Oreochromis niloticus: one gene and its partner. The protein of the gene in region 1 interacts with the protein of each later gene in a pairwise test. Links are inferred from orthologs where the notes say so. Each region holds a gene or a part of one and is shown in the gene's direction. Other genes may lie near its edges.

Region 1 (6,981 bases):
TTTTAGGATAAATGTTTCATTTTTGGGGGGAAATATCAGAGATGTTTACATATTTTGGCCTCAAGACAAGAAAGTCTGGAGGTTTTAAAATTACTAGCAACTTCATAGGTGCTGCTGCTGCTTTATAATCAATAAAAAATATCTTTCAGCCACCTGTTTTTGTTATTACATGCTTTATTATTCAAGATTTCTACATCAAGTTTGTAGTAGATTCACATTTGGCCCAATAAAAAAGCAATAAAATGTAAGATTTTATTACTGCAAAAAAAAACCCCAACTATATGCACAAATATATTTTTCTTTAAGTAAAAGTATATTAAGGTGAACAGATTATGTTTGCGCTTGTAAATTTAATTGCAAAACCTTCAGTTTACAGGAGATTTTTTTTTCAATAGTTGGCAGCAGTTGCAGAAAGCAGCAGTTTTGTTGGTCATAAAGGTCATAAAGAGCTGGATTAATCTTTAACAGCGTTAAAAACCTGTCGGATAAATGTACAGTGTGCAGAGTTTGCCTCAGGAATGTAACGGAGCACAAGGGTAAATTTAGTCCACAGCACCTGATGGACCAGTTAACCGAGAGCAGGCGACTGCAGAACAGGATTGCAGAGCCGAAACCAACGAGCTCCTTGGCCAACACATTCCTGCCTGATGTTGCGCTCATGACAAGAACAAAGAGAAATGCTGCTTGATGAGTTTGAAAAGACAGAAATGAGGAAGTGACTGGAGAGCCAAGAAAAACCTAAGTATAGACGAGGCGGTCACAGTGAATGAGCCTGGGTCTGAAACCAGCCTGGATTCACGTGGGTCCTCAGTCACAGTTCAGCAGGGCGTTAGGTTTAGTACAATGAGCACAACACTTTGTTAGCTGTCACACAGCTAAACTGGCTCTGCAGGTGTGGAGATCAATTATGAACCAACTTATCTCCAAGTTGTGTAAAGAAAACCCTCAAATCAACATAACTCAGATTGAAAAATGCTCAATCTTGAGGCACAGGCTCATTCTGAGCATCATTGTTGGGTTAAATGCCAAAAACCTTCCATAAAAAAAATTAAAAACTGAACACCACAATGATACTTCTGTTTAAGTCTTGACTACTTGAACCCAGACTGTTCTCTTTCCACCACTGTTAAGCTATTATTGTTATTATTTTATAAAGATTTCTACTTTTTTTCTTTTTTAAATTAGATAAAATATGTATCCTTCTAATTCCTGCTAATCTAGAATAATTTCACGGTCACAATTAGGGAGCAGCTGGTTTGCTCTGGCTCAGGACCTGTAGGTAATAAATGCTGAGTCAATGATGAAACACACAGAGGAGTGTTACTACACAGTTATGAATGAAACCAAGCCCAGGCAGTTACACGCACTCATTCCTCTGTTATCAATATTAATATTTCTCCCGAGTCCATTATTTTTTAAGCATCTTTAGATTTTCTTTGGTTTATTTATATCCCTTCATGATTATTGATAAACTGATGTAAACGACTCTATTTTTAATGGTTTTTTTCACTGAAATGCTGTAAATGATCTTTGCTTTCAACATTTGAAATACAGCACATTTTTAATTACTCATGAACTTAACTTTTCCTTTAAACGATAACGAATAATACATACTTTTATGCACACATTCCTGCTCATGGAAATGATTATTAACAGTGGATCATTTCGGTTTTCACGAGATGGTCACAAACAGACAAATCAGTCTTTACATGTGTCTCTCATTCTTATAGGAAAGTCTGTCCATATGTTCTGAAGTGTTTTCAGTGTACTGCATTTTAACTTTAAACATCTATCAGACCATCACTGAAAAATAAATCTGCCTTAGAAAACTTCCTTTTCCATTTTACACCTGGACAAAAAAAACCAAACAAACAAGCAAAAACAGAAAAAAACTCTAAACAAAAACAAAACAAAATGCGGCAGAATGCAAGAAAGTAAAACTTACCCATAAAATCCTCGCACGAATCATCCTGAAGTTCAAACCAGAAGCTGGACAGATGATTTTCCTCCTTCACAGAGAAGGCAGCAACATCAGCCTCTAATCTGGCTGGAAACGATAGTCCGAGCTCCGTGTGCGTAATGACACCACCCGGCTCGTTACGCATCACTTAAAAACACGGGGAAACTCCACCCCCAGAAGGGTGTGTGTGTGGTTTATTCAGGTGTGTGTGACACAGTGGAAATATATTACACACACACACACACACACACACACACACACACCTCAGAGTATCATAGGGATGGGTTCAGAAGCAGTAGGACATGTGAGATTTGTTTTGTTTTGTTTTGACATGTAATTGAACTCATCACATTCCTATCATTCTTTTGGGACTGCATAAAAAAAAAATCAACAATAGAAGAACAATAGAAACAGTTTAAATCAAATATAGATCAGCCAGCTCCCCGAATCTGCATCTTTATAATCTTTATATATCTATATCATATCTCCATATTACACAGTTACAGAGTGACATATGTGTGTCTCTGTTTTACAATAAAGACTCCAAATTGTGTGTAAAATACTTAAATTTAGCTCCACAGTCATAAAACGTAATATGACGTCAGTGACGGGACTCGCTGTGCTGCTCACTGAGTAACTGTAACTTACAGATTACTCGGGTTTTGAGCACCCTGATTTTTTCCCCCCAACTTTATTAAGACTGGCTGACATCAACGCAGAATGACAGAGCGTTAAAATCGTTCAAATACACTCAGTTATACAAGTATATTAAAATGTTTAAAAAGGTGAGGCTTTTTTTATTCTTGTTGTCCATTATTGAGTAAATATTTTGCTTTATATAAAAAAGTAACTGGAGAACTTGAATTCATGAACCACTGTTTCCTATTGGTTCCACAAAAAGTATAATTTAAATTGATATCACCTTCAAGTCTCTGATGGTAGTGGTTAGTTGGATAGAAGCTATGAAGCATTTTAAAAGAAACGTCCTTCATTGGTCAGAAAGAGTTCTAGTGGTAAAAACCAGACTTTGTGCCACCATTTTCCACAAATCTGGACCAGTATGTTTGAGAGGAGGGCGAACATGTGCAGCCCCGAAGAAACAGGATCTAGTAGAGAACAGCTCCAGAGACCCGAGGAAGCACTCTGATGGTGCGGGTTCGCGTCTTCGTGTGTTCAAAGAGCGCACGCACAACAAAACATAGCGCGTCTTTAAACTTGGAAAAACGGGGCTTGTTTGCCCCCTGGTGGCTTTTAATTCTTCTTCACTGTTTATCTTCATCCTCACACACAGCCTCTCTGACTGGAATGAAGTGAACATTTAAAGATTAAAACCACTGGAGACCTTAATCTCAAGGAATATACCACCTGTTTGTTCATTTTTTCCCTCATACTCAGGGACCATCAGGGAATACTATTCCCATTCCGAGCTACAAATTATTATTATTATTATTATTATTATTATTATTATTATTATTAGTCGTAGTAGTAGTAGTAGTAGTAGTAGTAGTGGTAGAAGTAAACTTTCAATTTTGTTTATTACAACTTAAACTTAATAAACTTGGATTTTGTCACTGAATATTATCTCGTCCCTACTATATATTTGAATCACTTAAAAAAATAATTACTGTGTGTGTTTATTTTATTTAATTATTAATTTTGTGTTTTCACAACTTTAACATCGTAAATTTAACATTTAACAACAATTTAACTATCATAATAGTTATTCCCCTCACTGAGCGATATTTTTATTTTATGATATATTTCATATATTGTACCTTTAGTTGTATAAATCTTAATTTTTATTCTCTCCGAACATTATCTCTCTGTCCAAGCACAATATTTTATTTATTTAATTATTATTATAATTATTTTATTTTACAACTTTTAGTTCATAAGTCCAGACTTTTTGAGCTTCATATTAATTTGAATTGTTTTTTCTTAGTCTTTATTTGTTTCTTCTTTCACGCGCTCTCTTTTTTTTCTTTACAATTAAATTAAATGTAATGTAATTTTATTTGTTAATGGGCCTAATGCCGAGTAATGAATTCCTGCTCTCTGCACTGTGACGAACTGCTTGGCGGCTCTGTGGTTTCCCAGCGGACCGTGAACGTACCTCCCGTCAGTTGGAGCTCCGCTCTGCGTCAACAGCCGCTCCGGTGAGTGTCTCTCCGTTTGTTTGTCTGTTTTTCGGGCTGTTTCGGCACGTTACCGTTAGGAAGACTGACCGACTGGGCTGCTGTGCACGCGGAGGTCCGGTGAGTCCACCTTTAAGGCCTCGTTACAGTTTTTATTTTAATCCGTGAGTCGCTGAGTTGGGCGAACTTGCTCAGCCCCACTAGCTTGCGTGCTACATACAAAAAGCATCGATGCGCCCATTATCGGACAGCGTTTCTCCTCTCTCTCAGCATCACTCCGTCACTCTCTCAGTTTTCTGTGTTTTAAAGCGAATCCGCAGTTTCATAAATCCGTGCATTCATCTGTTTGATGTAATCAATGAAATTAGCTAGCCGTGGCCAGGCTTAGAGCAGTGGCCGATAATGGAAGCAGGGGTTCCCTCTGCAAGCCATTCCCTGATGTTTACTGAATGAGAAGGACGGATGTGTTTGGGTTTTGTTTTGTTTTTTTGTTTGTGTTTTTTTTTTTAAATAGTTCTCTTCTTGTCATGTGCTTCATTTCCGTGTTTTAACACACCTGTGCCCACACTCACCCTACTAATGTCAAGTAATTGGCCAGCTAACGTTAGCTGCTCAGCTAATCCTTAGCCCGATGTAGCAGCGAAACCCGAAGCTCCGCGCAGAGACGCCGCTATCATGCATCTTTCAGACAGCGTCAGGTGACAGCCCTTAGCTCTCTAACTTCAGCCCCCCGCAGGTGCTCACGTATTAATGCATTAGCATAATAGGTAACGTCACTTAACGTGCTATCCGCGGCTAATCTATTGCTAGCTGTCCACAAGACACCACCTGAGAGCAGGAGTAGCTCACCTGGAGGAATGACCTCCAGCGTACAGGTGACACTGTAAGCAGCCCATCTGGGTGCAGGGAGAGCTGGAGGTCGGGTAAATGAGCAGAGACGCTGTTGCAGGTGTAAACTCAGGTGATATTTGTGCACATGCTGCAGTTTTTGTGCTGAGCTGGTTTCTCTGAAGTACTACAGTGTGTCAGGACCACTGAAGGTAAGAAGAGGAAACCCCAGGGCTCAAAAAAAATTAAAACCTGGCAGATTTATGAGAAAAAAAACAGTACAAATATAGACGACAACACCTGGCACATTTATGGCAAGAAATGAGAAAATTTATCAGGAAAACCTGGCAAAATTTCAAATACAAATTGTACATTTACACATTTTATGAGAATTAACCGGCAAGTTTTCAAGTGAAAATTTTTAAATGTACAAGAAAACAAATGTCAAGTTTGTGGGCAAAATAGGAAAATGTACGAGATAAACTGGCCAAAAAAACCTTAAGTATATCTGCAATTAAAAGAAAAATCTATTTAGAAAAACTACCAAATTCACACAGAAAAACTTAAATGATTAAAAAAATCCAAATTTGCAGCTTAATTAAATTTATAAGCAAAACCCTGCAAATTCACAAAAAAATTCCATTTTTGAAAATAAAAATATCACATTTCCAGTTTTAGAAAAAAAGGCAAATTCTTGAAGAAAAGCTGGAAATGATTTATTTTTTAAATTGCCAAGTAATTTTTAAAAAAATGTAGAAAAATGTGTGAATAATTACCAATAAATGAATGCAAACTGACCTCCCTTTGCACTTTACATATCGAGGAGTAAGTATAAGAAATCTACAGGCTTAATCCTATTATTGAACAGACCCAAAAGGATTTTAACGTCTGGCTTGTTCTGCTCAGTCTTTAAATCCTGATAATTCAGTTGATACATCTGATTATGGGAACAACCATTACCTGTACACATCTGTAAGCACACAGAAGTTTCATAGGCTTCTGGATCAAACAGGCTCTGTCAGGCCTGGTCGTCGTATGTTTGGTGAAGCAGGTATTCCTTCAATGGCTGTCTGTGCGAGACGCTCTTATTTTTTTGGAGATGTATTAAAGGACGGCGTTCACCTGTTCTTCTTTCTGTTAAATGATAAATGCAGGTCAGTGCCACGGAGCCCCGGCACCTTTATTTTGACCCATTTGTCACCGCAAACTGTTGATGGTGAGCTTTTCATTGTTGTGGTCAGTCGAGCTGTTTGGGATTCGCGTAAACACCGCCACTGAGACACAGGATGAGCCTTCATCGGGCGGCCCGAGTAACCCGGTCTTTGCACGACGTGTCGGGTTACCACGCCAAGCTCTCTAGGACTGGTCTCTATGGCGACAGGCAGGCAGGGAAGAGGAGTCAGGTTGTTTTTAATGAAGGTGGAGTTTCACCTGTGTGTGTTCATGTCCATCACCATGTGTCATACATCCTGGATGAGTTTGTGCTGATGTGTTTTTCTTGCGGCACAGTGTCAGACATGTGAGCTGTCTTTCTTTCTTTTATATTAATATTTTATGGGATGAATAATTAAACCAAAATACCTTAAATTATCTAAAATCACCATCTTTTGCAGTATTTGATTGTTTCAACTCTCTTTGTTGGTTGGAAGTTGTGATTGGTTGGTGGAATTTGGCTCTTTAACCTCTGACAGATATATCCTAATCTGACATTACTTCCTGATTTCTGTGCCCCGTGTTTGAAACCACAAACCTCCTCAACAAACCACACAAGAGGAAACAGGAGATTCATTTATATCAGGTATCATCAGCAGTTTTTTGTAGTCTGATGTCTGATTGGCCTTGAATGCAACGTTAATGCCTGCTGTCAGCTGCATTCCAGCATCAGTGAAACTCGGACCAAACAATGACACGACTCAACGTTAACGGAGTCCGAGACACGGCATCACAGCTGAGGATCATTTCCCAGCATGCCTCACTGCGGCGGGAACAAAACCCCTAATCAGGCCTAATGACGGGCGCAGAAGAAGAGATGACATGATGATACTGACGGAGAAACAA
Region 2 (7,077 bases), on another chromosome or scaffold:
TGGGTTGCGCCGATTAATTCGTATTTTAACTCAGATTACCCATCATGTTGGTACTCCCGAGTGAAATATATGAAAGCTAAAAGAAAGTGTGCGTGTGTTGGGGGGGGGGGCATAAAAAAAATCAAGATTAAGATGATTTTATCCAAAATCATCTTAATCTTTTTTATCCAAAATCATCTTAATCTTGTGCGGATTTTTTTTCAAAGATAGAAAATAAAATGTAAAAACTGTCGGGAAATCAAAAGAAATAGGAAACTGAAACTTTAAAAAAAAAAAACTAAATTCTTGGTTCCTTTTGTACATATTGACTCATGCTTTCTGTCTGAGTGCCGTCAGGGTTTGGTTGTGTTTAATCCAGGTAAATCCGACGGTTCAAGCACTCACAGATTTAAAGTATGCGTGTCACAGAATCAGAAGTCCAAATATTAAGTAAGATACATTAACAGTCCATACTTACATTTAAGCAAGATAATTCAACAGCGACGCTGAGGAACAGGAGGACAGGAAACGTAGTAGATGACAAAATATACAACTGCAGTAAAAACTGTTGATGATGTGCTTCATTTGCCTCTAAGTATTAAAAGCGCCTTTAACGGGTACGAAATGTGAGCGCCACCACGTGGTCAAGAATTACACAACGCTGTTTTTACTTATTGGCTTCAGTTTAGGTAGTTTCCAGAGTTACAGTTAATTTCACTTGTTTCAGTTTATTTGAAAAATGTTTAATTTTGATTTACTTTTTTTTTACTTTTTGATATACTTTTTTACAGTTAGTCATGTTTTCAAAAATTCACAACAGACATTTCAATACAAACACCACTTCTCGAAGGGCAGCTGGTTCACAATACTGTAGACCTCCCAAATCTAAAGAAAGAAAGATTACAAAGCATCATCAGGCCACTGTGATGCCAAAGGTGACTAAAACTTAAGGCCTTTCCTGTGTGTTTTTATTTTCACTTAGTTTTGTGATAACACAAGTACTTTTCAGTTATCTCCCTGCCTTCCCTCTTTTTTTTTTTTTTTTTTAATTTCAGGTAACTACACAGACTTGGGTAATTTGAGGAGCAAGGTGGTGAGGTGGTTAAAACTGTCAACTCACAATGTGAAGGTTCTTGGTTCCCTGGGCTTCCTGTCTGTGTTACTTCTCTCCATGTACTCCAGCTTCTTCCGCAGTCCACAAATGTCCATTGTAGGGTTAACTGATGATTCTAAATCGACCATGGATGTAAGTGTATAGCTTAAAGTGCTGCATAAATGTATAGTTCAAATTGCTTTGAATGGTCAGTAAGTCTAGAAAAGTGTTGTATAAATGCAAGTGCATTACATTACACAGAGGAGTAATGGTAGATTTAAGTGCAAAAGGAAGGACTGCAAGCTCCTAATACGTTTATTCACTGCCAGTAGATCTTATTACTACTGGTGTCATGCAGTTCTGAGGTAACAATTATTCACTAGAAAATTATCTTTTGATAGCAATGTAAAATTCTCCCTTCAGCTCTCAAGTGCAAAAACATACCATCAATAAGTTAATATCACAAGTGCTTCAATTGGATTAAAGTATAGTCTGACTTTATGGATGGCTGTGTTAACATTCTTAGAATTAATAATTAAAGTTGGAGTCAATTTAAAGCAACACAAAATGCATCAAATAAAATTATAATAGATACACAGTACATCAGCATCACAGCTTTTGGTGTTATTACTACTGCAGGTTTTCTAGAGATTTAAGGCTTTACTACTAAGTGCATATTCTTACGATTCCCGTCATAGTAAAGCTTCTTTGGCTAAAGCTTAACTACACTGTAGTGTGTTTTGAGGTCACATGTAGGGTGGGCTGCTCACCACGTATGGAGTAATGAATTTGTCTGCCCTTTGTATTCTTAGGCATCAACCAACTCTGATGTGACTGTAGACACCGAATCTGGTGCGCCAGAATGTCATACTAAAGAGATTCTTTTAAATACACGGGGTGGAGCGAGTCAGAAACCAAGGGCACAGTGATGATGTAGGTCTGATCAGAAACGGTTTATTTCCAGGCCAGGGAGCAAGAATGAGAAATAATTCTAAAAACATAATAAAATGTTGTCAATACGCTAAAATTCCCACCGAGCCTAGATAAAACAATTCTAAAACTGGTAAAAATGCAATTTTCTGTATGCTCTAAAAATCCCACCCAGTCCCACAACCCAGGACGAATGTTCGTTATGGGTTCACAGGCCAGAAATTCCTCTTGCGGAGCTGCGTGCATGCCAGAGGAGCCTCCGATCCCCTTCTCGTCCCTTCATTGGGCCCATCACTTCCCAGCCCAGCTCGCATTCTGCACTGGAGTCCGTTGCTCGATGCCATCGCGCCTCTCCTCGCGTCATCGCCCTGTAAACAAATAGGGGCCAGAACCATCGTCCTGGAAGCTGCCCTGGCTTATAGCCATGGCGACCCTCTCCCAACACGGCTGCACCTGGTGAACAACAGTGGAGACACTACTCACAAATGCAGGCAGAGGCATACCTGTGCCCTGCTGTCAATCACAGGCGTTGTCTCCTACTGTCGCCGTTCCTGCTGTCGCTACCGGTCCGTCTCCAGATGAGGCGTCGCACCCCCACGATCAGGCAGCGGGTCCCTTTTGTTTTTTGTTTTTTAGATGAAACCTGGCCTTCATGCTTTCCTTTTCATATCTGGAGCCTCTCTCCTCCCAATCCCCAGCCAGCTTCCTTTTAAAAGGTCCCTTAAACAGCTGATAGGCCACCTCTGGACACACCCATGTCTCAGGTGATCACTATCAGCTAATTTGTCCCATGCCCAGCCAGTCCACAGTGGATTAAAACAATGTCAAATAAACCACTTAAAACCATGCAATACAAACAGAATAAAATCATGCAAATAAAAACTACACTCACAAATAAAGACTAAAAAACAGAATAAAACCAATGTAATAGATAAATACAAATTTCCACTGTGTGACATGACCATTCAATCTCAAGTAACATGACTTATTCTTCTTCTCCATCTTCTTCTTTCATCTGCCACCTAAGGGGTCACCACACCAAATGATCTGCCCTCATCTCACTCCATTGTTACCATCCTCCTCTGTCAACCCTCTGCATCTCCTCCTTCACTACATCCACGAACCTCCTCTAAGGTCTTCCTCTTTTCTCTTTTATTCTTTCCTACCTGGCAGCTGCATTTAGCATCCTTTGTCCCGTATCTCCACCATCCCTCCTCCAAACCGTCTCAGCCTGCCTCTCTAACTTTGTCTTCAAACCACTCAACTTGAGGTGTCTCTCTAAAGTAATTATTTGTCCATACTGGTCACTCCGAATGAAAATCTTTATCTTTAGTTCTGGCTCCTGTCTTTTTGTCAGCACCACCATGTCTAAACATGAATCACAGCAGGTCTACCTTCTTGTAAACCTTTCCTTTCACTTTATGCTTCTCTTACAATCGCCTCCACCAGCTTCACCCTGCCTGCGCTCTCTTCTTCACCTCTCCTGTGCACTGTCTGTTAAGTTGGATGGTTGAATCCAGGTGCTTAAACTTATCCACCTTCACTCTGCTCCTTCCAGCTTCATCGTTCCATCTGTCTCCTTCTCATTCATTCATTCAAGTATTACATACTTATGTTATGTTACTTTTTAATTTTAGTATTATCTTACTTGTTTTTTCATTTGTTCTCAGTTTGATTTGTCTCTACATTCATGTTTTTAAAAAATGTTTATTTAGGATGTATTGCCTTTTTCATTTATTTTAAATTGATAATCATTATATGTTATTTGTTTTTTGTTGTTTGTTTTTTTACATTTTGCTGTGTCTTTTAAGTGGTTCAAAGTCCTGTGAACCACACTAACCTAACACACTAACCTGAAAGGCACAACTAAAATTTCATTGACTGTAAATAAATAAAAATAAATAAAAACGCGATCTTCAGTTATTAGATATTTGTCAGTCCGCCACTCTCCAGCCAAATCCAACAGGTGGCAGTGATTTAACTCCAGTGTGCTTTGCTAGCAGCCAATGAATCAAAAGTAAAAGAATGTCAGGCCTCACAAGCGTCCGTTATTGGTCTAAGGCGATCACGTGATTTGTACACGAAAGGAGGGCGGGGGGAGGGCAAACATGGCTGACGAGGCAGGGGAAGTAAACACAGCTGTTACAGAGCGCGACGAAAAACAAGAACAAGATGAGCCCAAAGTTTTAGGACCAGCGACTAATGGCGAACCGGATGGTGGCAGCGAGCAGGACTGGACCGAGAGGCCGGCTCCCCAGGTCGCAGAGGAGAACAGCTGGTCGGCTCCTCTCCTGTCTCTGGCTCGTAAGGCCACGGAGACGATTAGCAGCGGGATCAGCTACGCTGCTGTCCAGAGAAAGCCCTCACAGGGATCCGCGGCGAGCTCCCCGACCGAGAATGAGGCCGAAAGTGACCTCAGTAACTCAGCGAAAAAGCTTCCAGGTAGACTTTGATTTTTCTGATGCCTGCTAGTTAATGCACTTGGAGATCGAAACATTGCAGCTGTCACAGGCACTTAAACACTTGACTAAGTGTCAGCTGTCACATCACATGACTCCAAGATCAGACTCTTGGTTTTTTTTGGTTAGTGAAGTGCTCCTTGGCTGGTAATGTGTTTGGGGTTTTTCCGGCTATGTCATCTGACAGAATTAACCTCAGAGCTTCTGCTTTTTTTCATGCTTTCTGTACAGTTGTTCCCCCCAAAGACTCAATGGCAATAGAAAGATCCAACCTGCTCAGCATGCTGAAGCTCAGCATCAGAGTGTTGATTCAGTCTTCTATGAGTCTGGGCAGGACGCTTGACTCAGAGTACCCTCCTCTGCAGCAGTTTTTTGTTGTCCTGGAGCACTGCCTCAAACATGGCCTTAAAGGTTAGACGTAAATAAATCTGACTGTTGCTGTTGTGCTATATTTATCTGCCTGCATGCTGAATTTAATTCTGCATGCTGTCTGATTCAGCCAAGAAATCCTTCATTGGTCACAACAAGTCTATATGGGGACCACTGGAGCTGGTAGAAAAGTTGTGCCCGGAGTCTGTCAACATTGCCACCAGTGCCAGAGACATGCCCGGCATTAAGTATGCCATTAAAAAACATATTTCTATAATAAAACTATAGAGATCACAGCTGTGTTTAATTGCACTTATACTGTCATTCTTGTTTGTTTGTTTTTTCCTAGGACCGGTTTGGGGAGAGGAAGGGCTTGGCTGCATTTGGCGCTTATGCAGAAGAAAGTAGCTGACTATATGAAGGCCCTGCTGGACCACAAAGACCTCCTGAGGTCAGTTACGCTTGTTTTATAGTGCATTATAAACATGGGTTTCTTCCCAGCATCCACTTTACTTTTTAAATCCCTTAGTGAGTTTTATGACTCTGGAGCACTGATGTTGGAGGAGGAAGGGTCGGTAATGGTGGGGCTGCTGGTGGGCCTCAACGTAATTGATGCTAACCTTTGCATTAAAGGGGAGGACCTTGATTCACAGGTTAGTGATGCTGTTTTGTAAGAATCAGTTTCACTCTGAGGAACAGTTGCATCGAGATACAGAGTGATCTGCTCTTCTTTCCCATTTAGGTAGCAGTCATCGACTTCTCACTTTATCTGAAAGACCCTGCCAGCAATGAGACTCCAAAAGAGTAAGCATCTACACTGCTTTACATTATTATTTTAATCAGGACTGTTCTATATTGTTATTACTGTTTAAAGAATGACCCCGTATTAACAAATCCTTGCAAATTTTTGTATAGATATGTCTCACAACTATAAGATGGTGATTGTATCGCTTCCTCCCTTAGTGATTCGAAGATGACAGCCATATTGGATCAGAAGCACTACATCGAGGAGCTAAATCGTCACCTAAGCGGCACCGTCACTGACCTTCAGGCTAAGATGGACTCTCTAGAGAAGACTAACAGCAAGCTCGTAGAGGAGGTTAGGCGTGCTTTGTGTGTGCAGCTGTGGGACTCTGTTTGCGCTGGATTGATCCTCTTTAACGTCAGCTGGTATCTGTGTGTCTTGTTTTTCTCCTTTTCCTCAGCTGACAGCCGCCACAGACAGAATCAACTCTCTACGGGAAGAACAGGAACAGCTGAAAAAGGAGAACGAGACGATCTTGCAGTCCAGCCAGAGAAAGGAGGAGGTGTGGGGAAAAAAAGTATCTGGGACTAATTGCAGCTGAAGCCCCTCCTGATTTTAAGAAGGAATGAAAAATGCCATGTTTTTATTTTTCAGGCAGTGCTTCAGGACAGCCAGGCAGAGCTGGAGACATACAAACAGACTAGACAAGGCCTGGATGAGATGTACAATGTGGTGTGGAAGCAGTACAAGGAGGAAAAGCGCATTCGCCAGGTCAAGTATCAGTGACCTCCAGGACAGTTTGAACCAACACTCCACACCTGGTGTTTTGGGGTTTTGACTCAACTCTAACTGAATTTGACTCCCTTGTGTATTAGGAGCTGGAGCGTGAACTGGAGCTGCAGGTGGGAATGAAGCAGGAGATAGAGGTGGCCATGAAACTGCTGGAGAAAGACACGCATGAGAAACAGGACACGCTGGCAGCCCTACGGCTCCAGCTTGACCAAGTCAAGACTCTCAATGTGCAGATGTTCCACAAAGCTCAGGTACAAATAGATGAGCATGATTATGACTTTGTCTTTCGCACTTACACACACACATACACACAGATTGCGCATTTGTCCAATTCATGTGGTTTCTCAGGACTCGGACCGCCAAGCAGAAAAAAAGCAGGCAGAGGCCGTGCAGCTTGAGCAGAGGATGAATGAAATGGAGAACACCATGAAGGAACTTGAGCAGAGGTATGCGTGCTTGCCCAGGGTGAGATTCAGTTTCGCGTTTACATTCCTTTAAATTGACGCTCCTCTTCATATTTTGTGACTCATAGACTACAGAGGTCGGAGCAGGAGCGCAAGCAGAACGACCAGTCAGACGAAGACATGAAGGCGGAGCTGCAAGGAAAAGTCGATGCTCTGCAGAAACAGCTAACAGATCTCGATACGCTAAGGTGAAGAATCGCAATTGTGGGCATGGAGAGGGGGGGTATTGAATGTGGTATTAAGCAG

Evidence for each region. The genes of interacting proteins can lie anywhere in the genome.
Region 2: the proteins of rab3ip (region 1) and rufy1 interact in binary tests that used the Homo sapiens proteins (3 or more experiments, as listed by UniProt). The two-hybrid records come from large-scale screens. The link is inferred for Oreochromis niloticus from reciprocal best matches to the Homo sapiens genes RAB3IP and RUFY1.

Annotation. Positions count from the first base shown.
Region 1 is NC_031981.2:19,555,648-19,562,628, reverse strand, and holds the start of rab3ip (rab-3A-interacting protein), read left to right. Parts: upstream 1-3,964; 5' UTR 3,965-4,116; exon of another isoform or gene 4,117-4,215; intron 4,216-4,667; exon of another isoform or gene 4,668-4,793; intron 4,794-4,897; exon of another isoform or gene 4,898-5,135; intron 5,136-6,981. UniProt on the Homo sapiens protein: Guanine nucleotide exchange factor (GEF) which may activate RAB8A and RAB8B. Promotes the exchange of GDP to GTP, converting inactive GDP-bound Rab proteins into their active GTP-bound form.
Region 2 is NC_031966.2:28,809,862-28,816,938, reverse strand, and holds the start of rufy1 (RUN and FYVE domain-containing protein 1), read left to right. Parts: upstream 1-4,073; 5' UTR 4,074-4,110; coding exon 4,111-4,444; intron 4,445-4,692; coding exon 4,693-4,872; intron 4,873-4,960; coding exon 4,961-5,078; intron 5,079-5,179; coding exon 5,180-5,281; intron 5,282-5,359; coding exon 5,360-5,483; intron 5,484-5,572; coding exon 5,573-5,634; intron 5,635-5,793; coding exon 5,794-5,929; intron 5,930-6,035; coding exon 6,036-6,137; intron 6,138-6,229; coding exon 6,230-6,346; intron 6,347-6,450; coding exon 6,451-6,618; intron 6,619-6,715; coding exon 6,716-6,813; intron 6,814-6,899; coding exon 6,900-7,019; intron 7,020-7,077. UniProt on the Homo sapiens protein: Activating adapter involved in cargo sorting from early/recycling endosomes. Regulates retrieval of proteins from endosomes to the trans-Golgi network through interaction with the dynein-dynactin complex.